3 linked regions of the Oreochromis niloticus genome follow. The protein of the gene in region 2 interacts with the protein of the main gene of each other region in a biochemical or structural test. Links are inferred from orthologs where the notes say so. Each region holds a gene or a part of one and is shown on either strand. Other genes may lie near its edges. The genes, in order: otud7b, aurka and nin.

Region 1 (10,298 bases), on a different chromosome or scaffold from region 2:
AAACCAACTTTAGAAAAAAGTAGCGATTAAAAACATTTTAGCCACAGTCTTGGTGATTTCCCTTCCAGAACAAAACCTCTTGAGTGGGCACCATCACCATCAGTGTCACTGTAACCCGAGGCTACTATGAACTTCCAACCACATAACATTTGAATCCTGTTAAGAGATCTGATGCATATGATACACTGTAGATTACAAGCCACATATTTAAATTTGGATCAACCAAATTCAAATGGTTCGAGGAAAATCAAAGAGCAATAACTCAGTAATGTTTGTTTTGTTCCGTTCCACTGGATGCAGGCTGAGCTACTGCCTGTTTAGTGCACTGAGAAGGCAATTTAATAGACTGTATACGTGCGCCTATAATCCACATATTCACAAAGCAGCAGAGCACTTTTTGTTTTCAGTCTTCATTTTTTTTTTTTTTTTTTTTTTACTTTTACACCCTGCCAGTTTGGAAACTGACTTGCAGTCAGAAGGATGCTACACCCCTCTTAAAATACTCGCCTGAGGTGCTCTCTCTGCTGCTGTATGCATCAATATAATATGTTCCTTCAAGTGTTGAGGACTTGTATAATGAAACCTGACACACACCCTCAGAAAAACTGAGCATCGTGGTATGAAAATAGTTGCCACCATGAACTGATGGGCAGCTTTATCACTTTAATTACCAACAGTGAGATAATGGGTGCAAATATGAGGTGCGGTCAAAAACTTCACTGACTGAGCCTATGAAAATAAAAATGTTTAAAATGTTGATTAAATGTTCCCTTCATTGCATTCATATTAGTTGACCAATGCAGCAATATATGAATCCCTGTGATTCATGTCATCCTGAATAAAACAAAGTTGTTTTCTTCAAATTACAGACATTGTTAGAAAAAAAAGAAGGATCATTTAGGACATTATCTAACAACTTCTTGGCATAATTTATTCAGATCCATCCTCGTACATCACGCCCAGTTTTAAAACACTAAGAAGGCAACAATTAAAATGCTCACCTTTAAGTTTATAATCTATATTTTCAACACTTTCTCTTTCTTTACGTTTTAAACTGCGTAACAAAAAAACAAAATTGAAAAAAAAAAAATCTCTGCCAGACTGTGGCAGGTTTGTTTCACTTCACATTTATATACTCTGTTTATTCAGTTCAGTTTAAATTACAGTTCATGCAACTCTCATCCCTACATACGATCCTTAATATAATAACTGGGTCATTTCTGGCCTGCTGATTAAAATCCTCACCAACTTTAATACAGTGCTGCTTTTGCAACTGGTCACATAAACGCGTGTTTAACTGTTAAACACTGTTCTTCTTTATCAAAAGAAGAACAGTGTTGAGAAGAAAATCTATTTTTCCACATTCATGGCCAAAAATTGGGCTACTTTCATAGTGATGGTTAGCAAAGCTTTGAGAGTGACGCATTTAAACAGGAAGGAGGATTCATGTCTACAGCTCGTAAGTTGTCCAGCATAGTCATGCTGACAACCAAGAAAACTAAGCTAAAAAGAAGTGACAACCACTGTAGTTTAATTCTGATTTTGTTTTTTTAATTAAGCAGTTTGAATAATCAAAATAATGCTGTTGAATTGTAACCATCCTAATGATTCACAGCACCACCAACCCCTCCCGTCTCTAAATGTAGACTTCTTGCACCCTTTAGAGGTGAAAAATATTTACTTTGTGTATATAGACACAAATCAGTACATATGGAAACTTGAAAATTCAGGGACATGAAAATAATTTGATCAATTTTAATATCTTAACACACTGAAAGTTGTGATCATGTCACAAACTGCCACGAGACTATGCTGGAACGTACTGATCATAGCTCAGAGTTATCGAGCTGCAAAAGTCACTAGCAGAAAAGACAAATATTACAGTCAAAGTGCGCTGGTAGTTTCATTCAATTTTCCACACTGGTACTGATCAGCAGTTGCTTGTGTGTCCTACACTTCAAGCATCATCCTTCACAGCCACTGGAAACAGTGAGTATGGGTGGAGGGCTGAATGTGTTTTTTTCCTACTACACCATACCTAACTTCTCAACGAGCTTCCTCTTCACTGCTGTGTGTTTATTATGTGTGTGTTTTGTTTTTAATCAAAATCAGCAGTCAAAGCACACCCAGCCTGGCCTTCTGGATGGCTCTGCAAAGCGTGCAAATTTCAGAGAAGACACTTGCAATTCTCTCCGCTTTTACAGACAGAAGTAAAATACTGTTGTTGTCGAGATCCAAAATACATGTGTGAAGGTCATGTGCCTTTAAATAGCCACTATATTATACTATTTTAATATACATGTAACACCAATAGAGTGATGAAATGTGGAAATACTGGTTTTAATTGCACTCCTTTTGCCTAAGAGATCATTGACTACTTATCATTTGTTATTTAAATAGCTCATTAAATGCAAATGTTTTTCCTAGGTACCTATACTTCTTCACACAAAGACATTTTGTGTATATAAAGGATATTATCCAGTGGTTTTATACGTCAAACAAACTTAGGATCAAAGTGAGCTGTACATATGCCCTGTTCACTAAAATGAGTTTTGACACCCCTGCTGTAGGCCAAATACACTGAAGAACTTCTACCTCTGTCCTACTTTTCATGTAGGCTGTCTGTCCTGGTGTCCCGGCAAACAAAGGAGTCCACAACTACAAGACCTAAATAATTCAAGGCAGAGTGCAACCTAATACTTTCTCGCTGTGGTGATGTAGAGAAAAATATGGCAAATAAACCTAGTTCTAGTTTCAGAATGAGTAAAAAGCAGTGAACCCTGTGACCCGTCAGCTCAGGCAGGAGTCTCACACCGAGTTAGATGCTTATTCAGACTCAATAAAACCACTTGTTTTGGTTAGAAATTGAGTTGTGTGAAGAGCTGGCTCTGGTAATTTCTGTGAGCTGGTCTTTTAAGTCAATGTTACATCACACATGCACCTTAAATAAAAGGCGGACTCCGATAAGCTGGATCGTGACTAGAAGCTCCCAGAAAAAACGAGATGATGATTTAACTTACTTCCACAGGCAGATGCACAACTACTAAAGAGATCAGCTGAAATTGATATCAGTGTTCACACTGCTTAGCTGACAGCTTATAAAGCTAAGGCAGTATTCAGAAACCAGTTCTGCTCTCCGCTGAATCCTAACGCTACACACGATGATGGCTTGTCCCCACTGCTGACTCGGAGCCAGCTTTTAATGGCTAGAACTATTCTTTGAAGAAAAAATATCAGGGAACAATAAACATGCTTACATAAACGCATTTGAGACGTTCAAACGCATGAGGTTCATGCACCGTTCACACATATCCCACTAACTTTATTTGCACCCATTAGTAATTATAATCGTCCATTTAAAGTCTGCCAGACATGTGCATGAATGCTCACCATAAAGAAGTCCTGTACATTTTTTTCAGTTATTAGAACGAACCGTTACATTTGGCTAGCAAGTGGCTACTTCAAGCCTGGCTAATCAGCAGCAAGCTAACGGTAGCTTACGTTAACGCTAGGAGCTGGAGTATCCCTCTACTGCTTACCTTTAGCGGCCTCGCAGATGTTGTTTTCATCGTCCCATTCAGTTTTCCAGCAAGTGCCAACTTGTAAGTAGCAAATACGTTTCCAGTACCAACGACTTCTAACTTTTTAGTGTCCTCATATGGAGAACGGTGCGTAAAATCCCAAACCGGACCACCAGCGACAAAGTAATTTCTCCACCACTTACAACAACAACGTCAACCAAAGGTTTCAGACGGCCCCCGAGAGGACTCGGCCAATCAGAGGCGGGAGTTTTCTTTTATTGACGTTTATGAAAACCAATGGTCGGGCTAGAACATTTTGACTGACGTTCCCCATTAGAGTAAACACCAAATGAGAACGCCAAACATCCGCCTGCCAATTGGCTGCAAGAAAATGAGAGGCCGGTGGTTTTTCGTGTCAGCAGCCAATGTCAGTGCGGCACTCAGGCCAGAGTGACAGGTGCTTTGGAGTTAACAAAATAGCTGGGGCGTCACCGTGGCCGGGATGAGGTCATCCAGGATGATGTAAACCCTACGTCATTAGCGATGCTAAATAAAACGCAGCAGGGTACACGTCTGAGCGTAATCCATCCTTTCTGGAATTGTACAAACACTAATAAGTTGTGACAAAACGTGTACATTTAGCATGGTTAATATTACTCACAGCTTAAGTTTTTTTTTTTTTATAGGTCTCAGTACTTTTCATGACCATTAATGTCAATTTTCGCATGCAAAACGTTTTTTGTGGTTTTAAAAAATAAATACTCATGAAAGACAAACTTAGTGTTTCGTTAAGATGTTTTAGGGAATAGCCCACCAGGTTTCTTAAAAGACATTTAAAGCTCTTCCTTGCGCTTTAATGATTCATGGGGGAGTGTTTAGTGGCTTCCTCTGAAAATGGTCAGGTACAAGGACTGAACTGCAACTGAATGAAAGAAAAGGAGCCAATGTCCCCCCCCAAACCCTTGAATAAATATAAAGAAATAAGAGGTAACTTTTTCACTAAGTTACACACCTAATTAACATTAAAGGTAAATTTAACTTATTTTGAAAGTAAAGATAACCTATGCATTATCATTTCCCATTCTCATTCAGAAAGTATTATATGTGCAAATCCTAAATGTTCTTTTCTACATTCTTCATATGTATATGATGTCTATATATGCTATAATTTCATGCAAAATGAGCTGTTATGCTGATTTCTCTGTAAACTGTTATTTTAAAGACAAAAAGACAAACAAATCATAGGTTTACATTTTAAAAATTTTAATTTTCCTTAGGTTATATAAAATAAAATCCAAGTTACAATGAGCAAACAGAAAGAACTGTGAGGGATTCATGAAAACCATAAACATGTACATGTCTGTCTGAAAGTAAAAGCACAAATTCTCTGTTAGATCCAATTACCCAGCTACACAACGTTTACTGAAAATATTGTACAAAAACTCCAAAAGTTGCTTCGTAGGAAGGCATTAGAAGCCTATTAACTGGTTATCAAAGTGATGACTTCCTCCATTCAACGCCGCCTCCTGTCTGGACTTCTGCTGCGCCTCCGTCCACCAGCCCTAAAACAAAACACACATTAAATCAAAAAGGAAAATCTTAAAAAAATAAATAAAGAAATCAATTCAAAAATCATCGAGTTTCACTTAAATACCTACACTGACAATATGGGTGGTAAAATGAAAAAAAAAAAGGATCAATAACAACAAGGTGAATATAATATTTATTGTAGTCAAATCTTTATAGACTTTATATAGAGTTTATTTTATTTAAATTTTTAACTCCATACCTTTATTGTATTTTTAGATTACAATTTATTCAAGGTTCAGATTTCTACTTATTGTATTCAATTGACCCGTTTTTGTCTAATTTTATTGTTGTAATTTATTTATTAAGCTATTAAGCTGTGTTTTATGTTTTACCTGCTTTAACATTAACTACAGCATAAATAAAGTATATTTATAGTAACTTGTGGAATAGCTGTAACAGTGACTTAAAAAGGTGTAGTTTATTTTTCTTGTTTAAAAACATGTTTAAAACTAGAGTATTAGAAAATATATAAATCAAGAATGAAGAAGAGCAATATTAATAATAATACTGAAACTCCTGGTTGTTTTGTGTGGATTATCAAATTATTACAATAATTATTATTATGAAATTTAATTTACTTACTTATCTAAGATGGAAAGTTTTTTTTGTTTTTTGTTCGTTGTGTTTTACTCTTTTGCCTATGTAAATGAGCTGCTTCCTAAATGATCTTTTGTTAAAAGGGTTGGCATAATGAGCATTTGCTTCAGCCAGTACCTTTTTGATTAGCTTTTATCTCACGCTTTCTTTCTTTGTGGTAGATCTTTATTCTGTATTCATTGGGGGGGGGGGGGGTTCTTTTTTAAATTATTGAGTCCCTTCATTTTTTGTTTTTTTAACTTTATTGAACCACTGTGTTTTGGATATTGTTTTCCATGTTTGTTTTTAACAATTGGACTTTAGGCTACTTATTTCTGAGCTGTGTTTAATGTTTTGTCATCTGCCACACAGACATTTAAAGTAAATTGTATCTTATCTACAAAACTTAAGTAGTCATGTCATCAGTAGTGGGTGGCTGCGTGGTAAGAGGGGGAAAAAAAAAAGATCACTTATGATGACAAAATCCTACTGAAATGAATGTACAGAGTATGTTTCTGTACATTTTTCGAATATCATCGAGCTTGTTTCTGCTCCAAGATGGATGAAGACACAACCCTCACCTTCTCTTGTTCTTGGGAGGCCCTCTGACAAAACACCAGTCTACACTGATAGGCTGGCCCATCATGTCCTGACCGTTGAGCCCTTCCATGGCTGCTTGAGCCTCTTTGTACGTCTCATACTCAACCAGTGCATAACCCTGGGGACAGAAGACTGTGTGAATTATTGCATATTTATGTACACAGTAAACCAAATACTTCAGTTATTGGGAAAAACACATTCTGACTTTGTTGTACAACAATCTGTTTTTGCTTCAAACTGCCTGTAAGGAAAACTTTTTACGTTCCCCATTCTTAGCTGACAGAGGTAGAATTTCCTTTGGTCCTACTTTACATAAAAACAATGCTGCCACCTTGTGGTAGAAAAGAGGATGTGTTTCTATATTTAAAAGGAACAGTTTTAATTTGCACCTCCTTGCCCTCACCTAGTTCCCCATCGTTAGACTTGACTGTGCCCCCACTAAATTTTATTTCAGCACGCCTTACTGAAGGATGTCTGCATCCCTGAAATGCAACTGGAAAAGAGAGAAGAGGCATGCTGAAGGAGCTATAATCAAAGATGATCAGATGCATCCTCTGCACAAGTGTTTTTCCCGCATGGAATAAGTGTTATACACAGCTGAAATACAATGACAATGGTGGGATGAGGACTCTACAAATAGCTGTTCCTTTGCATTCATGCAGTTGTTTCAGTTTGGCTGCAGAAACAAACTTGCTCTACTTTACCATTTGTGTGGAATAAAAACAAACAAATGTGTAATATCTGTATATTCCTGATTTGAATTTGGTTAAGTTGACCTAACTATAAAATAGTGTCACAAGCCACTGTTAAACTGACTTATGGGATCATAAAAAACAGACAGCGCACAACAACAAAACACTAAAAGGACAATGAAATGTGCTTTTGGTAAAAATTTGACGTCGTGTGTAAAATTTCCAGTTTGATCCACATCACATGTTAAAAATGAGAACAATCTGATCAGAAAACCAGCAAGCAGGTTACCAATAATTCCATTTTTCACATGAACAGAGGAACAGTATGGGATTGTTAAACCAAAACATAATCCTTTACAGAAATTAAGGACATTTGCAGTATTAAAAATATTTGGATTTAGGGTTTAGTTTAGCGATAATTAGAACAAGTCAGAGAAATGTTGGTTACTTTTTTGGTAACTAACTTGACACTGGCACTTCTCTTTGTATGAAATCAGTTAAAGTGTGACTCGGTGGATGGTCTTGGCTCTGGCTTCTGAGTTTATTCTTCATGGATGGCATCGTGGTGTCATCATTAAGGGTCAAACAAACATGTTATGCAGCCAGGTGTTGTGTATGCAGCTGGAAGGCAACAGTGATCTGTCTGGGCTCAAACCACCTTTACCCCAGAATGAAGCAATGTTTTCAACAAGCCATTTTTTCCCCCACTCAAACACAATTGGATGTAAAAGCCAGTCAAACAAAACAAAAAGAGCCAATTTAACAGTTTAACAGAAGCGTTGTTTGGGGTGTACAATCAGCCTGTCTGAAAGATCTACGGAACAACCCCACGCCTCCCATTCCTCAAAGTATAGCTGCAAACCACACTGAGGTTCAACTCCAAGTAGCGGGCTAGAATCAGGTATCACCAGACAGCGAACCTGTACTAAGCCAGGGTTATCAGCTCACGCACGCACACAAAAAACCCACACAATAATAGTATGTGGTTTTTGTTGTTGTATTTTTTTACCTTAAGGTAACCTGTTCTGCGATCAAGGTTGAGATGGAGGTTTTTGATTTCTCCAAACTCTGAAAACTTGTCATGGATGTCCTCCTCTGTGGCCTCCTCATGTACACCCGTCACAAAGAGGATCCAGCCCTCCACAGCTGCAGCAAGGAAAGGAATCAGCATGTAATGAATCAAGTACCACTTTCAAGTGTATCAGCTTAAAAAAGACAAAAAACAAACAAACAAAAAAAAAGCGCTGTATTTGAGTCATAAATAAAAACTAGTTGTTGACAGTGTGATGCCAAAGGTGCTACGTTGCAATAAAGCATTTAATGTAAAATAAAAAGCTTTGCTTTGATATTAAGTCAATAAATAACAGAAGTGACACTTTTTTGGAAGCAAGTCTGCTTTTTTGTAAATCTGAATGGATTTTAATGGTACCAGCGTAATCCTTCTTTTGCTGTTGATTAACTCTGAGATTTCTATTCACACATGTAGCTTGGACTTTATACTATTGACCAAACTTATCATTACAAGCATTGGAGTTGTAACTCAAAAAAGCAGCAGCATTGTCTTACCGGTTACTTTTAGAAAAGTAATGCATTACTTTACTAATCACAAGTTATTTCATCATTTTACTTTTGCATTACTCTGTAACACAGCCTGTGGTGCTGTAGTGAAAGGTTTATAAATTGACAATTATGAGAAATTGCACCACACAATTGTAATGAGGACAAACACACAAATTATTTTTGTGCTTAAGTATTAAGACAATGACAATTAAGAACATGTATTTAAATAAGTTCTAACATGTTCTACCCAGTAGTGATTATCACATCAACAGCAAATGATGTAAGATTACCCAGAAAACCACTGGTACTTTCTGCTATATCACAGCAAAGCCACAGCCTGCCGTTTCAAGTTCGTGACATAATCCTTTGTTAAACCGTTTCTTTACTCACATCTCTGAGGGCCTGGCTCATCCCCATCTTGTTCCACAGTATCATAGTCCTCTTTGGTTCTGGACCGGGCTCCCTCCTCTGGAAATATCGACAAAGAAACACTTACTGTACTGCATAGCTAAAGTAAGAGAGGCTATGTAAAATATCGCCATCACACCAGGGGTCACTCACCTGAACCGAAGCCTCTTCCTTTCCTCTTCTTGGCTTTCTCTTTCAGCTTGTGGATGCTCTCTAATGAATGAAAGATGAACAAGTCAAAGCCAGCGCACGTCGCTGCAATGCTCTCTTGACTACAAGTTATCAACGAACAAAATTCGCCAATTTAATTCAGCTGACTAGGAACATGTTTAACATGCCCGCTCCCCCCAGTTTGAGCCGCAAAAACAATTACCCGTTAGCTGCACTAACCGCGAATTAGCGTGTTAGCAGCTGCTAACAACCCTCACAATGAGAGTTAAGTTACCGGCCAAGTAAATTTCCCCTTCAAAAAGAAACAGGTGAACTTTAAAGACCTCTATGTCCGTAGCCTCGCTAACTTGTACGGAGCGACTGAATAAATCAACTATACGGCGCTAACTCGCATTAGCATGTTAGCATTGATCGGGCCTGCCACCACGCAGTCTAGCTTTTGTTCCGTTTACGAACATGGCGGCTGCGATTCGGACCTCAATAATTACACATCATTTGAACGCGGGGACAGTAAAGTATTTTCCACTAACAGTGAACATAATATGATTACCATCACCATCCTCATCCATAGGAAAGTCCTCGCCTCCCGCTTCATGAAGGTCCAGCACGTCCGCCATGATGTCTCTGTGTGTATGCGTCTGACCAACGTAACGTACGTACGCAAAAAGCGCTGAGAGGTAGGCGGAAGTTGCCAGTTTGTATAAAATAAAAGTCAATATATTAAATAAAATACACAAATACAAATGAAAATAATATATATATATATTTTTTTAAAGGTAAATGGTAAATGGCCTGTATTTGTATAGCGCTTTACTTAGTCCCTAAGGACCCCAAGGCGCTTTACACTACATTCAGTCATCCACCCATTCACACACACATTCACACATTGGTGACGGCAAGCTACATTGTAGCCACAGCCGCCCTGGAGCGCACTGACAGAGGCACTATTATTTTTATCACAGAAAGTAAAATGGCTCAAATCAATTTACACAAACAGGCACAGTTAGGTTTTTAATGGTGTAGCTTTAAGATACCTGCACTTACAGCACTGTGCAACTTGTCATTTCTCTATATTTTGTTTGGAAAATAAAAAAACTGGTGCAATGGTTTATTGAAACATGTGCAAACCAATGACGCAAACATACATGGAAATACAGTACACACACAAAAACAAGTTTAT
Region 2 (9,676 bases):
ATTGGGCACACAAATATTAAGCATACAACATGCATCACAGAAGAGATGCTTTTAGTGAACATTCAACATACCAGAAACAGGACTACGAATAAAAGGTTATTTTCACTCTGTAAAACTGGGGAAGCTCCTTTGGATTATAGAACAACAAGAGTGACGAAAAGGTCTTAACTGCACGCTTACCGTGGCGCTTCTGTCCTCGGGAAAATGTCCACAGCGCTGGAGCTCGCTGTACAGCTCTCCCCTGGGTGCAAACTCCAGAATGAGGTACACACGAGAGGCATCGTGAAAGTAGCCATAGAGTCGCAGGATGTTCGGATGCCTGTAGGAAAATCAGGACCATTAGATATTTTGACAATCATCATTTCCAATATGTATAGACTCCCCAAACTAAACTGCTATTCATTACTATGGTAGGGGGTAATTTTACTGAAGGGAATGTGTAGTTGGCATATTTTAGTGCCATTTTTCTGCAAATGAATCCATGTGGTCATATTAAAAAAGTTAGGCATATGGAAGTCCACAGAGCGTCTCACACTCGCCGTCTGATGATCAGATTTGGTCAGATCCAGAAACCATAGCGTGCCTGTGATGTTCTCAATATCTGAAGCAAAATCCAATCACTCTGAGGGAAAAGGTTTTAAACCTGACTGATCTACAGTGTTAACATTTAGATAAACATGAAGAAACCCCCACAGCATCTGAACATTTGTCTGACAGTGACATGAAGAGGAGTCCGATTTCCACAGATTAAAATAAATAAAAAATATATAATAATCAAAAAGATAAGTTATCGTCATACTAACACAGGTCTTCCCAGCCGTGCTGCAGGAGCATACCAACACAGCCAAACAGAACACAAACCACATTTACACACTTTCATAAGTGTCTGTTTGTTTGCAATGTGATGAGCCACATTAAAGCGACGGACCCATTCAATACTTTATTTTCCCAACATTGAAAGTTCTGAATTTTTAAGCAAGAACCCCACAGACACATTTTACAGTCATTACAATTACGGGGGGGGGGGGATTTGCTTTCAATCATTTTCCACTGCTTCAGTTTATTAGGTACACATAGATAAAACTAATTCAATGCAGTTATATCCACCTTCCACTATAACCAATGAGCACAAGCCACAGATAATCTTCCATTTTGGAACATGTGGCCTAGACTTAAAAAACAAACAGACTTTATTCTTTATGACCCAAAACGAGTGCCTGAGCCCGTGCACAAACTCAGGAGCAGCATTTAAAGAGTTGGAGTCAGAAAGCTGTTTTTCCATAGACTTCTAAAGGACTTTTTGCAACCACATCCATCACAGTCTGCTGGCCTTCAGGAGTGCAGGGTTTTTAGGTACTTCTACATCTGCTTAATTTTTCTGACCTGGAATCTATGACTGTGTTTTAAACCATTTATATGAGACTCAAGATCAGGACTGGGTATCGTCACCAACTTCTACAACTGATTCTATTCTGATTCACAAGGTTCCAACTCCACTCTATTCAATTCAATTTAGACTCCGTCAGAAATATAATTATGATCATTTATCTTTGATACGTACTGTCAAAAGAACCCTCTAAAAAATGTAAATTAAAAATATTTCATTTCAAATTACTTGACAATATCTCTGCAATTACAAACTCAGTATAAATTATCTAGGTACAAAAACAAAGCTGACACCTGTGAGACTTCATCAGAAGTGCAAGCCTCACAGCAGATGCCTTTGTGTCAAAGTAGCCGATGATATAAAACAGAAAAATATGAAGGAGAATTTCCTGGCCTGGCTTTTTATAGCAGAAAGCCATTGCTGGAACTAGATGTTAACTGCAAGTCTCCATTTAGTGGGAAAAAAAAAAAAAAGGAAAAAACACGACTTCCTGGCGATTGCAGTCCCTTTTGCTTAATTCATGCGTAAAAGCATGCACAGAGCACAAGCGGACATTTTCACATGTGATCTACTGCAAATATTAAAATATCCGCAGTACATTAAAAACATGAAAACCCTGAATCAACATAAAAACTTTGCAATTTGGCAGAATTTGTAAAAGCTGAAATTTCTGCGGTAAGGAACAGCAGAAATATATTGTCAGAGGTAATTTTGGGGAAAAAAACAAACAAAACAACAGCGGCTAACAACGCTGTACACAACTGGAGAAAATGCCGAAAATTTAGATTTTTGATGGTAAACTGGTCTTGAAGTATACAGAGAGAGCTGTGCAGGAAGTGTGATTTAATGAATCAATATCACAATATTCATATTAAAATAATTTTGAATCAGAAAATAGATTTTTTAAACCCACTCCTACTCAAGACCGTTTTGAAAAATCAGACAAGGACCCAAAATAATTTCAGTAGAATAATGCTGTTGTGCTGACTATCAAAGTCATTTTCACTCATTTTCCCTACAATAATCAGTCACTTCAGTTTGACCCCACCTCTTTTCCCTTATCTGTAGTTTGCCTGCAGTGGGTCTACTCACCACAGTTTGAGAAACGTGAGTCTGGGGAGCAGTTAATTACAATTAACAGTAAAATATAATTCGACAGATGTTACCTGAGGTGAGACTGGATCTCCACTTCTCTCCTCAGCTGGTGCTCCACCCCAGCCTTCTCCAGTTGCTTTTTGAAGAGCACCTTCAGGGCCAGGATGAACTTAGTCTGTCGCTCCCTGGCCAGGTAAACATTCCCGAACTTCCCCTTTCCCAAAGGACGACCAATGTCAAAATTTTCCAGACTCCACCGTGTCCTGTGTGAGCAGAACAGCACACGGTTACAGCAAGAGCGACATAAACTGTAACCTGTCATAAAAGTATATGGATGAGACAAAGAACCACTCTTAAACATACTTTGATGTAGAAGTTTGTGCATGATCGTTCTTGGCAGGTTTGTCTGGACAAAGAAAGAGGAGGATACATTTTAGCACCCAAAACACAGACACAAACACCATTGTTTTCCCAGTTTAGTATTACACTTACCCTGTGGCTTCTCTGGCTTTTGTGGTTCCGACTGGGGTTTGGTCAGGTTTGGTTTAGGAGCTTGCGTTTTCGGCTGGTTTTGCTGGGTGCTGGGTTTGAGCTGTGTTGCTGCATTTACATTCTGAGTAGCGGGGTTCACATTCTGATCAGCAGGGTGTGTGGACTTGACAGTAACGGGCAGGTTTGACACTGGTTTCTGATGACTCACAGGCCTCTGAATGCGCTGAGGTCCATTTGATACACCTAGAACCCGCTGATGCGGTGTTGGTGTGACTACAGCCTTCTGAATGGGCTGTGACTGCTGCAATACAGGAATCCGCTTGGGCCCATCACTGGTTGACTGCAAACAAACAAGATAAACAACAATAATAAAAAAAAAGCTTCAAGCTTTTTATTTTTTGAAAGTATCATAAATTAGATATACCTTGAAATAATTGTAATTTGAAATTGATTTCTTAATTTTCTTAACCATCTATCCGACCCAGTCTCTCACTGAGCACACCCTGGACAGGTCGCTGGTGTGTCGCATGGCTAACAGAGACAGAGACAACCATATGCTCTCACCAACGTCCAATTTAAGGTCACCAATTCTGCTCATATTATCAGGATTAACAATGCCCTTTGTGGTGTAGTCAATATGGTCAGTTTAGTTTATTTATAAGCTCATTTAAAAAAATAACTGCTGGCTACCATCCTGTATAACTGGATGGATAAAATACATAAATAATAAAAAGAAAATAGATTTTAAAAAGAAAAAAAATGAGAACATGAGTAAAGCAGGATTGAGAAAAAGTAATCCAATTAGAGTTAAAAGCCAAGGATGAAAACAGGTTTTGAAAATGTCTAATGCTGGAGGGGTCCAGATGTGCAGATGCAGTTTGTTCAACAATTTAGGAGCAAAAACCTGATCAGCTCTGTTTTAATCTAGGAGAACCTGCTAAGCAGATCTCAGTGATCTGATGGAAGTACCCAAAGTTAAATGGAGGCAAGAAGGTGCAAACGCATGCAACGCCTTAAAAATGACATGTGGTCTGTCTTGCGTATGTCAGTTAAAAGTCAAGCTGCAGCGTTTTGGACCAGTTGCAGTCAGGGAAATAGTGACAGACTGTCACCTGAAAAAAAGGCTGCTGCAGCTGGGAGTCAGGATGAAAACAAGGCATGATTAACTCTAAAAATCTGAAACCTTGAAATCTGTTTACCTTTGTGAGTTACCTAATCTGAAAAAAAAAAAAACAAGTTTTAACAACAGCATTTACCTTTTACCTCAAAAGACAAGGTTATCTAAATTAACAAACACCAATTCTGTTTTAATCCCATCCTCAATTAAAATCCTATCCATAGTTGGGATCAGTGGATCGTACTCCTATGATCACATACAAGTGCTTAGTTTTGGCCATGGTCCTTTTCACCCATCCAACTTTGTGGGTCAATTCTCTCTTAGCTCCATTTTTGGTGATGCATATGCCGAGTCTCTATATACACTAGATCTTCTTAATAAGCCATATAGAAAAGACACTGGTATGCCTGGAAGCGCAAATCTAATGCCATACACAGTAATCAAGGATATTTAAAAAACAAAAACACACATTTAATTAAATTTTCAACCAGCTCCGGGTTTATGATGAGTTACCTTAATTTCAGGCCTTTGAAGTTTCGTGCCTTTTGGCATCTTGTGCATAGCAGTAGAGTCCATAATCTAATAAAGAAGTAAACGGAGACAGGTTTTAATCAAAGAAAGGGTTAAAAAAATGATAGGAATGAAGAAAAACATGCAGTTTGTTTAACTCTTTAGTCTGCCACGTTTCTTCTAGCTAAGAGTCTCTTCCAACCTCCTTAGACTACGATGACCTGGATGACCGAGAACCTTCACAGACATTTCTTCTAACTAAAACAAAAAACAAAACCCAATAACAACAATCCTATTTGGATATAGACGCTCTTGTATTCGTGTCTGAGATAACTGTTTAAACACGTATATACAATTTACAATGTTTATTCTGTCAGGAAGATTAACAGTAGCCATCAACGTCACGTTGTTGCCGATCAGGTAAAGTTAAATTTGCATCCACACCAAAACATCAACTTTTTCAACAAGCTAGTTGTATAAAACCACTTACCTAAATATATTATTGCAATGACCCGATTCAACGCTAATCGATAATTTTTCTAGAACATAAACGGGTCGAAAACAGCTCCAAGGGAGGCTAGCTAACAGCTACGTCGGCCAGTAGACCACAGCTGGCGTTTGTGGCTCGCTACAAACATAAGGACTATCCACGGAGATGTTACGACGAGTCTTTATCGACCAGTCTACCTTAGTATCACTTCTTTTGTCTAAAAAATACTACATGAGTGCTAATAAAACAATAAAGTCGAAGCACAAAGCTGTAGCAGTACAGAGACTGACTGAGATTGGCTAACTCTCCGAAGACTGCTTGTTTAATTTCAAACGGCCCTCGGTTTAAAACCTTTAAATACAACACAGGCTGCTATTGGCTGAGGGAATGCTCAGTACTCACTCTCCATTGGCTGAGGCTACACGCGGCGGCCGGTGGAGCGTGACGTACTAAAGTCGAAGTGAATCTTCCAAAACACTAGGGGGCAGTCCACAGACACTGTCAGTACAGGAAATCTTCCACACCACATGCTATTACACTTAATGACTTTATTATTACTTCAGCTGCTTGAAAAAAAAGTTTCTTCCCAAATATAAACTCAGAAAAACAAGAGTTATTTATAGTTTCATAGTATTGTCTTTCTTTTTATTACTATCAATGATATCGCTTTTTAAATCTCTTTAAATTTATTATTTTTGATTCCCAGTAGATCAGAAATTACAAAACGCATTTATTTGTCTTTATATTATTATTATTATTATTGTTATTGAACGATTTTCTTTAAAAAGAAAATAGTTAAATCAGCAACACATAAGGAATAAATGCAATGCTTAAGTAAATAAAAAATGCAATTTTCATAATCAACAGCAAATTATAAAGCGAGTTTAGAGCCCTCCTTTTATTTGTTTGTGTTGTCTAAATTACTCTAAACTATATATAAAGTCTTTTATTTATTTTATGTTTCTTTTTGTTTTTGCTAGTTTTAAAACTTTGGCTGGAAAATGTAAGAAAAACAACTTCTGACACCCTCACGGATAATTATTACACAAACTAAAGGCTTATATAACCAAGCAGCAAATGATTTATTAGAAAACTACGTGGAATTTTTTTAATTACATGGTCTTCAAACCTTTGCTAAGATGTGTATTATTAATATACGAGAAACTACATCCAGGGAGAAGTAAATATTAATTAAGGAAAAGTGATTTCCTTTTGCAAGATATCTTTGGGCATCTCTTGGTGGGTAATTAATCTAATTACGTGGTGATAAATCCAGTTTTATCAGTACAGTAGGGTCAGATATATCCAACAAAACAGGCTTCCAAGAGATTCAGAATAATCATAGGATACTGTTGTGATTTTTGTGGATTAAAAAAAGAACTTCTTTCCCATTTGTGGTGTTTTATTGAATTGTGCTAATGACTCAAACACAGACGATAAGGACATTTTCTCTGTTTTCAAAGAGATTATGAGAATTTTATTTTCTTCATGCAACTGGTTGTGCAAGGGCAGCTTACATTCTTCAGTATCACTGTTGCACTTCAGTGACTATTAACTATCTAACCAATAGGAGCTAACTGGCCAGAAAATGTATTGAAAGAAATCTCACCATGTCCCTGGAAGTATCTGTAAATAAAAGAGCAGGGGCATGCAGATGTGGTGGGTGTGAAGTTAGGTCAGCCCAAGTTAAATAGGATTTATTGCAGTAATCAGGTCTGCAAGACAAGCCAAAGTGACGCCAAAGTGCACCATGCACCTGCAGTGGTGATGCCATTTTGGGTGTGCATCACCTTTTGTAAGGACAAAACTGAGAATAAACTATCTATGTTTATTCCAAATTTAACTGAAGAGCTGTTTATATGCTATTTATGTATTTATATGCTTAATTAGAATAAAAAGTAATAAATTATAAAGGGAGAACAACAACAAGAAAACAATGTATACTGGAAAATAATATGTAAAAATCTATCGATCAAAAAAATTGAGCCGGCCTTTACCATAAGGCCCATGCTTCTTTGAACTGTATTTGCTTTTTTATTATTGTGTACTTTTTCATACCAGATATGTAACAGAGCTGCTCATACACTGGTTCAAAATAAATGAGTCTGACTTGGGGTTCTGCATTTTTATAATGTCAAAAATCCTGTATAAATATGTCACCCAAAATATATAAAATATGAATCATTTCCTCTTCCACAAACATTTTAAATAATTCTTTTTAATTAGCAACATTTCATTTCCTTAATTTTTTCACAGAAATTGTAACTGTGACATTTGTCCACTATGTGGCAGCATGTGGCGCCTGCATGATGAAGTCAGAACTTCAAGCATCCTGTCAAATGTGCAGCGTTTCTGGTTTATGTCAGGTAACTCCCTCTGTGTTTCAAATATACAACCATTGCTTCCAGCTGACAGTTCAGATGTATAAAATAAGTGACTGTCTCTTGACTGAAACCATCAAAGACAATCAGGTCAGGTTATTTTGACACAATCAAGAGCGTCTTCACATTTATTAAAGCTGAAAAACAAGAAAGAATATCTGACAAAAGCTCTTAAATAAAACGGGTTCAAATATTTTATTGACACATTCTGCATTTGGTGAGAATCTTTTACACAATAACCCATTCAGAAAACAAATTACAAGGTGAACATGTGATTTTGCCTTTAAAAATCAACCAAACTCATAGTTTACTCTGCCAAATTGTTCTTTTTTCAAAAATAAATATTCCTGGCATAGGTAAAAAAATATATATATTAATAAATATCTTATGTACAGAAAGTTGTGCGTTTACCATCGCCACACAGATTCCCACTATGAGACTATCTCAAACACAGGGTATCCACTGAAACAGTTTTATCAAAATGCTCGCTTAGCACGTGTAGCAGCTTTTACTGGTAATAAGTGTGAAGCTTTCGGCCCCTGCACTCAGTGATCATGCTTACAGGATTATGTACGTGCTGATAAAACTACTTCAGTTGAAACAACCTCAGGTTTAGTATGTAAAAAGAAGTCTGACCCTTGTTTCTACACAGTAAACAGATTCATGCTTATGTTACATTAAAGCAGCATTTGAGAAGGTCTACTATACATTTTTAAAAGTATAAATATGGCAAGTACTTTGATCCCTTCATTTCAACTTAAATACCTCAATAACATAAGTTATTACATTACATCAGTACAGTTTAGTATCAGGCTTTCATTCGTACCTATTACAGTCTGTTGTTGTAACTGAGGTCCCATAGGAAAACAGTGTTGAAGTGGCTCTCTTACACAAATAAACCTTACTGTGATCACTGTGGATAACCCAAACCGTTTAATCTGACCTGCTTGCATGCATTTGTGACATTCGGTGCGCTTGACCTCCATGGCTAATATCAGCCATCATTTCTCAGTGTACGCATTTGTTACAGTCACTCCTATACGTCTCACCATGAACTGTTTTTCTTTCCGACTCTTCTGCTGTAAACGTGAAGCTCAGACCAGAGACGATGTGCTGGCATTCTGACACATTTCTGCCAGATGAAAACACACCTGGAGAAGGCATTTGTAAAGACAAAAAGCAGCGTCTGCATTGGCACATTTCTTGTGTTTCCAGTCCATCCACATTGCACCTTTTTTCAAAGATACAAATGGCAGTAGTGTTTAAATCTCCCTGAGTGAGCCACCAACTTTTCAGCGCCCTATCAAAGCAGTCCCGCCAGGCCGCATCGCTAGAAAACACTCAGACCTCCTTTAGGCAGCAGTCTCCGGCTTAGAACATAACTGGTAAAAGTACACAACATGCCTAAATTGTACCCTTAAATAATACAAAAATCCCCAAAGCACCAAACAGGACCAGAGCATCATAGAAGGAGGCTGGCTGTACTGCTGTGCAGTCCAATCTGAGACTCAACTGAACACCAGAGTAGGGTGTCATTTCTCTGTGACCGCAGCAGCCATTGGGGTGCGTATGGTCCCACGTGCTGTGGCTGCCAGCTCCTCGATTTCTGTATTCAGTCGCCTGATAACCCACTCCACGGCTTCACGGCCCTGTTCGAGAACAAAGTGAAACGTTAGTCCGCGGGAAAATGAGTTGCATCAAGTAGAATACAAGAACAGAAAAGACGGCGTGCCTGAAACACGTAAACCCACTTCATGCAGCGACTGGTCTGGAGAGAACGTTAAGCTGTTGACTAGTCATCTCGTAGTTTTTAAAGATTTTTCCACACAAGTGGATTTTGGATGTACAAGTGAAACGCCACAAATCTGCTGCTACTGCCCCAACGTAACAGTTATCATCTCCCTTCTTTTCTTGCGATTTGCAATGGCTATAAACACTTCTGCCTATATGTAATTAGTGTGAATGCTTGAAAAGCATTCACAGTATTGTTCTTCTAATCTTTATTATTCCGTTTTATCTATTCCGTACGATTTTTGGCATCTATCTCCTTCAACACCATTCAAGTCCAGGCCTCATTATGTACTATATAAAGAGAAAGACATCCAACCCACAAACTTTGGACAAAGTTTTTTAAACTGTGTGGATCCAAGTGGAGGGATCACATTTTAGTCATTCAGTGATTCAAAGAATATGAACTTTTAATA
Region 3 (10,266 bases), on a different chromosome or scaffold from region 2:
TCCCACCTATTGTTTGGGAAGCCAGCAGTGAGGGAATGAAGAGCAGATGGGATTCTGCAAGTGGCGTTTTGATACATGAAGTGTGGGCATCCAGGAGGGAAGGGGTAGCGGAGCTCATTGTTTCCCTGACACAGGCCTACAACCTCCTCCCCAAGCAGCGGGCCTGCAGTCTCTGAGGCAGAGCCCCCTGACCCAGCCCCATCTGCTGGTCCCCACGCTGGACACTTTCAGCATTGTTACAGCTAGATTATTCAATGCCAAGACGCGCTTCAGTTCAGCATCTCCAATAGTGTTTGCTTTTGCGCTGCTAGGCATCTCTGGGTGGAGTCAGAGACAATACACAGAATACTAACATCTCCATCCAAGCTTAAACTTAACACCATTGCACTGTTTTGGTGAACACTTGGAGGCGTTTCTCTTACTGCAGCCCAGCTTTGCAAAGTTCTGCACAAGTAACTGAATACTAAAGGCATTATTTTCACAAACATTTGTCAGAAGGTCCAATAAACACTCAGAAATGTGAATTTTCTGGCAATTATTTCATAGTTCAGGTTTTACAGGGTTAAAAAACCTGCTAATTGACTATGTATCATCATTTGGAGCAGATTTTAAGTAAGCTATTAATAACTGGGACTATCTGAGAATCTCTGCTGTATGCTATTTATGAGAAAGGACTGTGTGTGGAAACATGTCAGAAGTGAGTCTGATTAACCAAGTAACAGATCTAGAAGATCAGAGGAACCACACACCCACACCGTTCAACTGTTCACGGCCATAAATGACCTGATACTATAAACTCTGTGACAAGTCTCATATCCCTTTCCTTTCAGTATGTGCCAAAAACACAGGATGTACATTTTTAAAACCTATTCTTAAACCTCTGCATAGCCGCCAGCACATAAGGCCAAGTCTAAATCCACACTGACCAGCGTTCAGCACAGAAATCGCCTGATGAAGTCTGACGTTACACAAACACTGTGGTTAGGTGTTAATTACTCGAGGCTTATCAAACACTAATTATCCTCACAATGTTATTTACAGACAGTACTAATTTGTTATGCAACTAATAGGACCTTGTGAATCTTGTGTTGGAACGCTTATATTACACTTCAGGATCTGCCCTGCATGCCACTAAGCTGATTAGCTAAGAATAACGCCTGAATGCTGGCCCGTGGCTGCTGGGAAACACGCAAGGACAGGAAGCGATAAGGATGGCACTCGAGATGAAAACCCGATCAGTCTCAGCCTTTTACCTCACGTTTCCTGGGAACAGCTGAGTCATAGTTGTCCTCCAAATCCTCCTCGTCGGCTGGTTTTACGTGTGTGGTTTCAGTCAAGTCTGAAATAGGCTCTATTAACTCTGGTGTGGAACGGCGGCCATAACGTTTACCGCCTTTCACAAACTTTGGTTTGATCTCAGGAGACTCTGAGGAAAAATAACAAGGAAGTGTCAAATCATGCACAGAGTAAATAATTTGCATAGAAGTTTATCACAACAAAAACAGGAAAAAAAAATGTGACGACTAGTATTTAGCAAAGCCTCCAGTATGTACTTCTCCAAATAACTTCTCTAAATCTTGTAACTTTAGGATCTTTTCAAAGCCGCATCTGTTTCAGCAAAACAGCCATGAACTAAATGTCAACCTTTAGAGAAATTAACAGGAACCACATAGGTTCAATATACATCATGCGTCACTGACAGGCATAAATATTGACAATGTAGTATTTGCTTTGATGAGATCCATTCTTTGTGTTGATATATAACAAGGATCTTACACAATGTAATGATGACAGATCTGTAAAGAAACTGAACTTACATCCAACCTCATCTGTCATCATCTACACAATAAGTAGCATGGTAATAACATAACAAGTCATTTCAAAGACTTGCTTTGGGTCCTCTGGCTGTGCATAGGGGCTTTTCCACTTATACACACAGACAACTAGGTGAATGATAAACTAATTTCAACTCAAGTTAAGGGCACAACGTCATGCTCTGTGCCTTCAAGGCGATGCTGCAGGCAAGTTTCTTCAAAACATTGTGCACAACCATCAAGACTTTACCTGGTTTTGGCAGGACTTCCTGTTCTTCCTGAGGTGGCTCGATGGATGATGACAAAACCAGAATAAGAGCATCCTTGAACTGTTCAAAGTCAACCTGCAAAAGAATTAAAGAAATACATCTTACAGAAAGTTCATGAAATTCCTTACAATGGGTGCTATTCTCTGTGGGTGAGGTGCAGTCTGGGTGTCCGTGTGGAGGAGGGTTTGAGCAGGAGCAGCAAGGTCACATTTTAAGAATCAGCAGCTGCCAACCCTGAATATGGTGATTTTCTTTGTGCTGCGGAGGCTGACGGCTCCCAGGTTTAGATGGTGTTGGAGGGGAGGGGGATACTTCGGGCTTTTTGACTTTATTGTTGGATGCCGTGAGTAAGCAATCATTTCAGTGGCCCCTCTGCTAACATTTACCCCGCCCACTAACACCCACACATGCCAGACAATAGCCACCCGTCTGTCTACATGCTTACATACAAACAAACATTCATGCCAGCGTGTGGAGTTAAGCTGTTTGGATACATCTCATCTTTATTTATGGGTTGAACTATCAGAACCACTGTCCTTAATTTTTTTTAATACATTTCCAAATGGCCCCTCTCTCAAATAAAAGTGTGTGCGATCAGCACATAGTTTGTTGTCTTGACACCTGGGTCGGAGCTGACCCAGGTGTCAAATCCAAAATTGGGAAAACTTTGAATACCTCATAATCTACAGCATGTAGTATCATCAAAAAACTCAAGACTCAGAGAATCTGAAAAATAATCTCTGTGCACATGGGACAGCCCAAAAATCATTACACAGCATGAAACTAGGATTGTAGCATGTATTCAACACTAGTAATGAATATTGCTGCATAAATAACAGCTTTTTAACAAGGGGGTGTGTCTCTCATTTCCAAGCAGGTAATGTATAATTTCAGACTTCACATTAGCAGTATGACGATTGTTTATGATGAAATGGCTGCTTAGCGGCAGTGGAATAAACTCACCCTGGCAGTGAGGCGGTCCTGGTTCTGGAGCAGAGTCTGGAGAAGAGCTGGTGCGGTATCATTAAGGTGCAGCGACTGACAGAGGTCGGAGAGCTCCTCTGTGCACAGAGAGCCACAGCCGCTAGTGTCAAAGCTGTTAAAAACTTCTTTCAGCCGCTCCTCGTACTGGTCCTGCTCTTGCCCGTCATCCATCCCACAGGACAGCACCCTGCCCTAAAGAAAGAGTGAAAGAGATGTCATACTTTCCATTACAACTATTGGGCCTCTCGAGGATGATATGCCAGAGAATAACAGACAAGATAAAGGCAAGACATTAAAGTACCTTGACAGGATTAACATATTCAGTCACAGTGCTAACAGATACTCACAAACAGGATGGCTTCATCAATCTCAGCAGTATCTGTTCTTACCAACAACTTCATCTGAGAGCACTGCCCTGCAACTGAGCTTTCAACGCACTGCTCCAGCCTCATTTGCAGTGGAGGCTTTAGGTAATCCAATTACAATGATTAGACAAACGGGTAAACTGATAGACACGAAGATATCCAGCAACAACCATGACTTTCTTTTAATTCATTTAATAAATAAAAATCAATCTTAATTCATTGCACTTTGATCACCAAATAATTTAATTTTTAATATCTACAAGTATTTAGATTATATGCTATTGAAACAGCTAATCAAGAAAACAATGAATACACAGTGGCACCAAGCCAAGTGGACAGAGCAGCCAGGGACTAATTGAGAAAGTTAGACCAGAGCAGTGTGCCAGCATTTCCAGACTGGCAGATTCAGTTACACATGGACCAAGTTTTTGTTGTGTCAATTGGGTTGCATCATTTCTCTAATTGAAAAACAACAGAAGCAAATGGACAGAGAGCGGCGCCTCAAAATACAAGTCTGGAGTTCAAGTCAGCTGTAAGCCACGTTTCCCTGAAGCAATGATAGCAATGCAGACAATCAACCTTGGCGAATTATCTACAAGGCTAATATTTTAATGTGGGATTGAAGTAAGAGGAGAAGCTGACATTGGTCCAAAGCAAAAAGACAGAGTCTTACTAACATAAGCAATGACATAACTTCCAGACACAACAGCTGAGATCAGCCGCATGAAGCTTACCAAAGGTGAAGCTTAAATTGGGCTGAGCAGAGTTAGAATACATGTTTCTATTTTTATTTACATAAACTCCAAATAGATTTGTGGGTTTGTTGCATTATTTAGTTTGTACTGTCCACTTTTTTTTCTTGAATTTCAAAAATACCATAGTTTTCCACCCTCCTTAGGTGTCTTTGTGTTCTAATATTTTATACATTTTGATCACCTTACTTCAGTTTGTCCTAACATAATGTATATAGATGTGCATAAGACAAATTCAACATAAAGAACATACCAGTATGTCTAATGAGTTGAAACTCCCCATTCAGGGCTCATCTATACAATAGATATGCTGCCTGACCCTTTGCTCTTCCAGCTGCTCTCACTGAAATCATCAAGTGCTTGGCCAGGTGTCCCCCCACAATCAAGACTCGGGGTGCCCATTCACTGCGCACAATAGGCTGTCCACAAAGGCCAAGTCACTATTCTACATCTGCACATTTGAGCAGCTTATGGCATGCAGAAAAATAATGGTTCAGCAGTATGGCAGCTTACGGAAAACTAATGTTTGGTAAACTTGCAGAGCAACAGGGCGACAAACAGAAAGCAAAAACAAGCATTGGGGAAACTGCTTAGGACCGCTGTATTTTACATGCATGTCTCCTGAACAGATTCTTACTAAACAAAAATCTCTTTGCACATCTTGCTGGCATTGTTGAACTTATTCAGGTTTCTGCAAACAAATTTCTGAGCCAATTATCCAAGCAGCCCTTCACCTCAAGCTTGGCCACAGAGGCTCAAGGTGGCTGTGGGTCGACAGCTGCTGTAGCTTAAGAATAAAACCAGTTCATATTAGGAGGGAAAAAAATAAATCCTAGAACCATCCCAGCATTCACTGGTCATAGTGTCACTAAAAGATTTTAGCCAGTAAAGATAAAACTTAAAAACTTGAGGATTGAACTAGAGATGAAGGAACTACATTTTAATCTGTTTTCTCTGAGGACTTGACATTCTCTCTCTATACAAACCTTCTGTCCAAAGAAACTACATAAAGATAATTCCCATGTTCCCATTTTCTGTAGACCTATGTGAGAAAGTTTAGAAAAAGAATAACTTTGAAAACCTGCAAACAACCCATCTCAGTCACATTTAAACAACTTTGGGTGAAATGTGAGGGCAATTGTTGGTGATGCAAACTGCAAAACTGCATTTTATTTCCATTAGCGCGCTTACTTAACGCCATTTAAATCAAAATGGAATAAAGTTAGCAGTCAGCTGCTTCCCGTGTGTGTTTTACTTCACTAACTTTTCCCTGACTTCATCTAAGTAAAGATTTAAAGTCACTTGTGAGACTAACTGTAATGTAGTTTAGTTAGCTTCACCAGTCATAAGGAAAGTGATGGGCTATGCTAACCGCGCTAGTTCATTTGGGAACGTGAGGGAACACATTTTTTTAGGATGAAAGAAGCTAAGTACCCAGAGCTGGAGAAGAGAAAGAAAGAAATGTCTGAGAAAAAATAAACTCACCAAAGTGTCGAAACTTTGCGGACAGCTGGCTCCTTCCTCGAGTGAAATTTGCTGATTAAACACACCTCTAAAAAAAACTTTAAACTACAACATTTCTCCCGCTACAGTGCAGGTAATCCTTCCGCTCCGGCAAGTTTGACGAGCAGCTAATTTGTCGATAGCAGCATTTTGTTCCCTAACATTACAGAAAAAGTAGCTGTCAGGGTTTTGCTGCTGGCTGCTTTGTGTCCGCGGCTGTATCATCCTCCTCCGGCTTGTAGCGGGTTTTGAAAAGCGGTTGTAAGAGGAAGGGGCGGTGACCGACCAAGAAGCTGCAACGCAGTCCTGCAGCCCCCAGTGGACCAAACTAAAACAGCTCCGAAATCACTACAGTCTTTTAAACTGATAGCTGTGTCTTGTTTTGAATAATGTGTGTTGCAATGCTATCTTTTAGGCAATATTCAAGCACAGAGGGGGGGATTTTCCTCAGCAGCCAAAGTTCAAAACTGGATGCAACCATCTTTGGATCAAACAACCGCTATTAGATTAAAGTTGCACAAGACATTATGCTGGCTTTGTTGAATGTGCACACTCAACACAATCAACAATACGAATCTAAATATTCTCTACCCTTTACTTAAAATACTTCAGAGTGTTTGGCCTATATTTGTTTATATTTAGCCTCCAGGAAGTGAGACTTTGCTCTCTGAAGGGATTTCAGTGTTTCTTCCTTCATTGGCCGCTTTTTCACTTATTTTTGTCCAGTCCTTGTACCTGACCATTTTCATTTTCAGATGAGTGTTTTGTTTGTTTGTTTATTATGCCTCTTAACACTTACCCATGAATCATTCAAACACACAAAGGGCATCTAGCTCAAGAAATGAACCAGTTGTGCTTTACTACTAGCAGCAAGCACAATTCCTTTGGTTTAATCTATGAAAAATGCTAATGATGACACTGATTGATATGAATAAAATATTTTTTGCGCCAGTATGGTGAATTACAAACTTGAAAACTTGCCATATCTCATCGTGCTGTACTGTGTGACTTTAAAGATTTTGTGGAAACTGGACAAGTGGAGGACAAAAAAACTGGCGGACCTTAAAAAAAAAACTATCTGCAACAAATCAAAATATTTTATTCCTGTGTGTAAGAAACAGGAATCAATCCAGCAAAGACCTAAAACAGGACCTGAGAGATGCAGCCACCCTTCAGTTGATCCATCTACTGTACTGTACAATGATCCCAAACACACTATCAGTGGAGTAAAAACGTACCTATAAATAAAAATATACAATGGAAGACTATCAGGATTGGCCTCCATGGAGCCTGCACCTCAACATTACTGAAGCAGTGTGGGATCATCTTGGCAGAGATTGGAACAAAACCCAGACAGCTTCCAAAGAAAAACAAATTAATGTCCTTCAAGAAGCCTGGAGAACCATTCCCGAAGACCCTTTAAAGAACTTAGAAAGCCTATGTTGCAGAATAAAGGTGCTCATACTAAATATTGACTTTCAAGCTTGTTGTACAAACTCAGTTTTTGCTTTATACACTTTGTTTTCGTGGATGTTTGCAAATAAGTCACTACTACTTAGCAAAATATAAAGAAATGAGGGGCCTCTCAATACATTTGGACAGTACTGCATAAGCCATAGGCTACAAGCTACAATCATAAGAAGAATGGCTCCCAAGTAGGTTTTCATCTTACCAAAGAGCAGTTTCAAAAACAAGAACACGAATCATTCCTCAATATAAGTGTGTCAGTGAAATGCCGTAGTCCACAACCACAGGATAAATGTGAAGTTTCACTACAACTGCTCTGTACTGATTTCTACTGTTTATAGCATCAGTTCATGCATGACCAAGAGTGAAACTAAGTTTATTGGAAAAACAAGAAAACAGTAGTTTTCTGATACTTTGTTGGCTTTTAATTTATTTGCTAGCAATTTAAAAAAAGTGTGGGATTAGCTCAACCAGCAATGACCAGACAAACGCTTCCCCTCCTACAAAAATCCCGGGGATCGAATAATTGCATTAACTGTCTTATCTTCCTGCTTTCTTAGATACAGATTGATGAAGGGATGAATAATTACCTATCACAATGCTCTTACATTCAGTTTTGAGGGTTTTTCTAGTTCTTAACATATAAAGCCAATCAATGTCCAGTATTTAACTCACATAAACCCTGAAAGCATCAGCATCAGTTGCTAAACTCCTGAAAACAAAATTATTTTCATATTTATATCTACTTTTACCCTGAGCTTTCTTTCAGTCCAGGTGGAGGAGTGGATTTATTGCATTATCTAATACAATATTGGCTTCATCTTGGTTTAAAATTATTTTAAATATCGAGCTAGCTACAACTGTGGAATAAAGATGCATATACTTAAATGGTGTAGTTAACTAAACAAATGTGAAATTGTTTTAAATTTATAGTGGTTTTAATATGTTTAATATATTTACACCAAAAGGAAACATAATCCCTTTAACACCTGTAGCATGAATTTTTTTTACATTCTTAATTCATTAAATTATTTTTGAGCAATAAAAATTTGAATGAAAGAAAATAATCTTAGTGTTGACATTGAAAAGAAACATTATAATTTAAACATCTGCCACTTGCATTTTTAAATTTGCCTTTAATTTTTCTTCTGTTTTAAGAATTTTTATGATATATAGCTAGTTGTGTTAATATGTTTTACACTGAAAGGAAACGTAATAACTTATGCGTCTAACGCAGGGGTCTGCAACCTTTTACACCCAAAGAGCCATTTGGACCCCGTTTCCACGCAAAAGAAAACACTGGGAGCCGCAAATACTTTTTGACATCTAAAATGAAGATAACACTGTATATATGCTTTGTGTGAACAACTAAGGTGTGCTGCTTATGAAATCCATGAAGTGCTACAGAGAAAATTAAATTATATTTATGTAATCAACACATTTTGAACTCTTAAAGAAATATAACAAAAGGAAAGACACCAACCTGAACGAAAATGATCCATGTAGCAAACAAAAACTGTTGTCAGCCGCCTCCCTTATATCGCCTTTGCGCTGTTGGAGCCTTGACCTGACTCTTAAAAAATAATTGGAAAAAAGCACTATGCTGCTGAAAAATGAAAAATAGATATTTGCAAAATTCTGCCTAAATATGTATTTTACCTGGTTAATGCGTGCGGCGGGGCGTAGTTTGCAGCGCCGCTGCAGGGGAGGCGGACGCACCTGAGCAACACCCGCAATCACGCCTCGCCGCCTTAACGTCTGCGCTATCTGTGCTGTTCTGTTGTTGTTGGTGTATGTCGGGCTGTGCTGTGAGCTGAAAAGCTACAGCCGGCTGTATGCGTACAGCAACCGTGTGTGAAAAGTGCTCAATAAAGAGATGCTCAAAAGCATGCTCATGGAAACATCGTCGGGTCTGCCGTGATTTGTTTATAATGGGACTTCTGCTCCTGAACCTCTGCGCACAGAGTCCGCAAATCGGGGCTATACGAAGTCAGTTCACGCAGGACTGTAAGCTGTCATCTGTCAGGCGTGAACGATGTTTGTCTTTAACATAGTTCACGGTGGAGAACAGCTGCTGACATAATGTGGATCCGAAGATCCATAACTGGCCTACCTGGGGTTGAAAGTCTCGATAAATTCACGGCGTTTCGGCGGGTATACCGGCTTCCGCGAGTGTGACTCTAATTTTGAGCCGTGAAAAAATAATAGAATATAATTTTATTTTTATATTTCAATATCACAATAATCTTCCAGTTTAGAACTACGAGTTAAAAAGAACTAACATAAATAAAATACACTTCAGCTAAATACTTCTAATTTATTTGCCCAAACCACGCGGAGCCGCAGTATAACGACTAAAGAGCCGCATGCGGCTCCGGAGCCGCATGTTGCCGACCCCTGGTCTAACGTGTAGATTTCGAAGAACTTTAATACCCACAATTCCTTGCGGCCACTTATCAGCCGGGTTTGTTCCTGTTTTGTTGATTACATCGGCGGTAAGGGAGTTTGTGTCCCTAAATATTCCTTATGCATGTTTTTTGCTTTTCTTTTTTTTAAGTTAAAGGAAGATGTCCACAGGCATTGAGTTTTTGCCTTCTTTGGAGAGCACTGCACTTTGATCGACTTTATTTCTACACGACTGACTTGCTGCATGAAATATTAACCAATAGCAGAGCGGCAGAGGAGACGATTAGTCTGAGAAGAACGTTGACCTCTTTTCACTTTATTTCACAACACTCTTGTTGTCAGGACAAGATCCCTGCCGGATTCAGTTCACTGGAAAGAGGAAAATTCGCATACCCTGATCTGGACAGCGGGGCAGATTGTGTTGCTGTGGAGTGGAAATAATTTCACCCGTGGCAGAAATGAAGAGAGCTATTTCATTTCTGATAACTGTCTATGTCTCGGTGCCTGTCATTTTATACCTGTTCCCTTGGATACTGGGCCAAGTCATATTTGCTCACGTGTGTAAGTAATGTGTCGCGAGGCCTGGGTGTTTATTCAGAGTCAAGTTATTACATGTCGGATAGAGCAGATCTATCATTTAAATGTTTCCTAAATCGCCATACGCAGTGTTGTGTAATGTTTATGACAAATGTTCTCATGGGAAATA

Evidence for each region.
Region 1: of the proteins of aurka (region 2) and otud7b, one has a biochemical effect on the other in vitro, tested with the Homo sapiens proteins (2 studies listed by BioGRID, with this or other methods). The link is inferred for Oreochromis niloticus from reciprocal best matches to the Homo sapiens genes AURKA and OTUD7B.
Region 3: of the proteins of aurka (region 2) and nin, one has a biochemical effect on the other in vitro, tested with the Homo sapiens proteins (2 studies listed by BioGRID). The link is inferred for Oreochromis niloticus from reciprocal best matches to the Homo sapiens genes AURKA and NIN.

The regions. Positions count from the first base shown.
Region 1 is NC_031976.2:34,770,925-34,781,222, reverse strand, and holds the start of otud7b (OTU domain-containing protein 7B), read right to left. Parts: upstream 3,780-10,298; 5' UTR 3,540-3,779; intron 1-3,539. Other genes in the region: rbm8a (RNA-binding protein 8A), read right to left, coding at 5,035-5,083, 6,269-6,405, 7,989-8,125, 8,930-9,007, 9,101-9,160, 9,669-9,735. UniProt on the Homo sapiens protein: Negative regulator of the non-canonical NF-kappa-B pathway that acts by mediating deubiquitination of TRAF3, an inhibitor of the NF-kappa-B pathway, thereby acting as a negative regulator of B-cell responses.
Region 2 is NC_031970.2:6,631,654-6,641,329, forward strand, and holds the start of aurka (aurora kinase A), read right to left. Parts: upstream 5,439-9,676; 5' UTR 5,092-5,438; intron 4,671-5,091; 5' UTR 4,668-4,670; coding exon 4,605-4,667; intron 3,315-4,604; coding exon 2,975-3,314; intron 2,889-2,974; coding exon 2,846-2,888; intron 2,746-2,845; coding exon 2,554-2,745; intron 320-2,553; coding exon 181-319; intron 1-180. Other genes in the region: prelid3b (PRELI domain containing protein 3B), read right to left, coding at 9,005-9,121. UniProt on the Homo sapiens protein: Mitotic serine/threonine kinase that contributes to the regulation of cell cycle progression.
Region 3 is NC_031983.2:21,050,944-21,061,209, reverse strand, and holds the start of nin (ninein), read right to left. Parts: upstream 4,557-10,266; 5' UTR 4,468-4,556; coding exon 4,438-4,467; intron 3,260-4,437; coding exon 3,047-3,259; intron 2,159-3,046; coding exon 2,065-2,158; intron 1,427-2,064; coding exon 1,254-1,426; intron 1-1,253. Other genes in the region: monoacylglycerol lipase ABHD12, read left to right, coding at 10,019-10,121. UniProt on the Homo sapiens protein: Centrosomal protein required in the positioning and anchorage of the microtubule minus-end in epithelial cells. May also act as a centrosome maturation factor.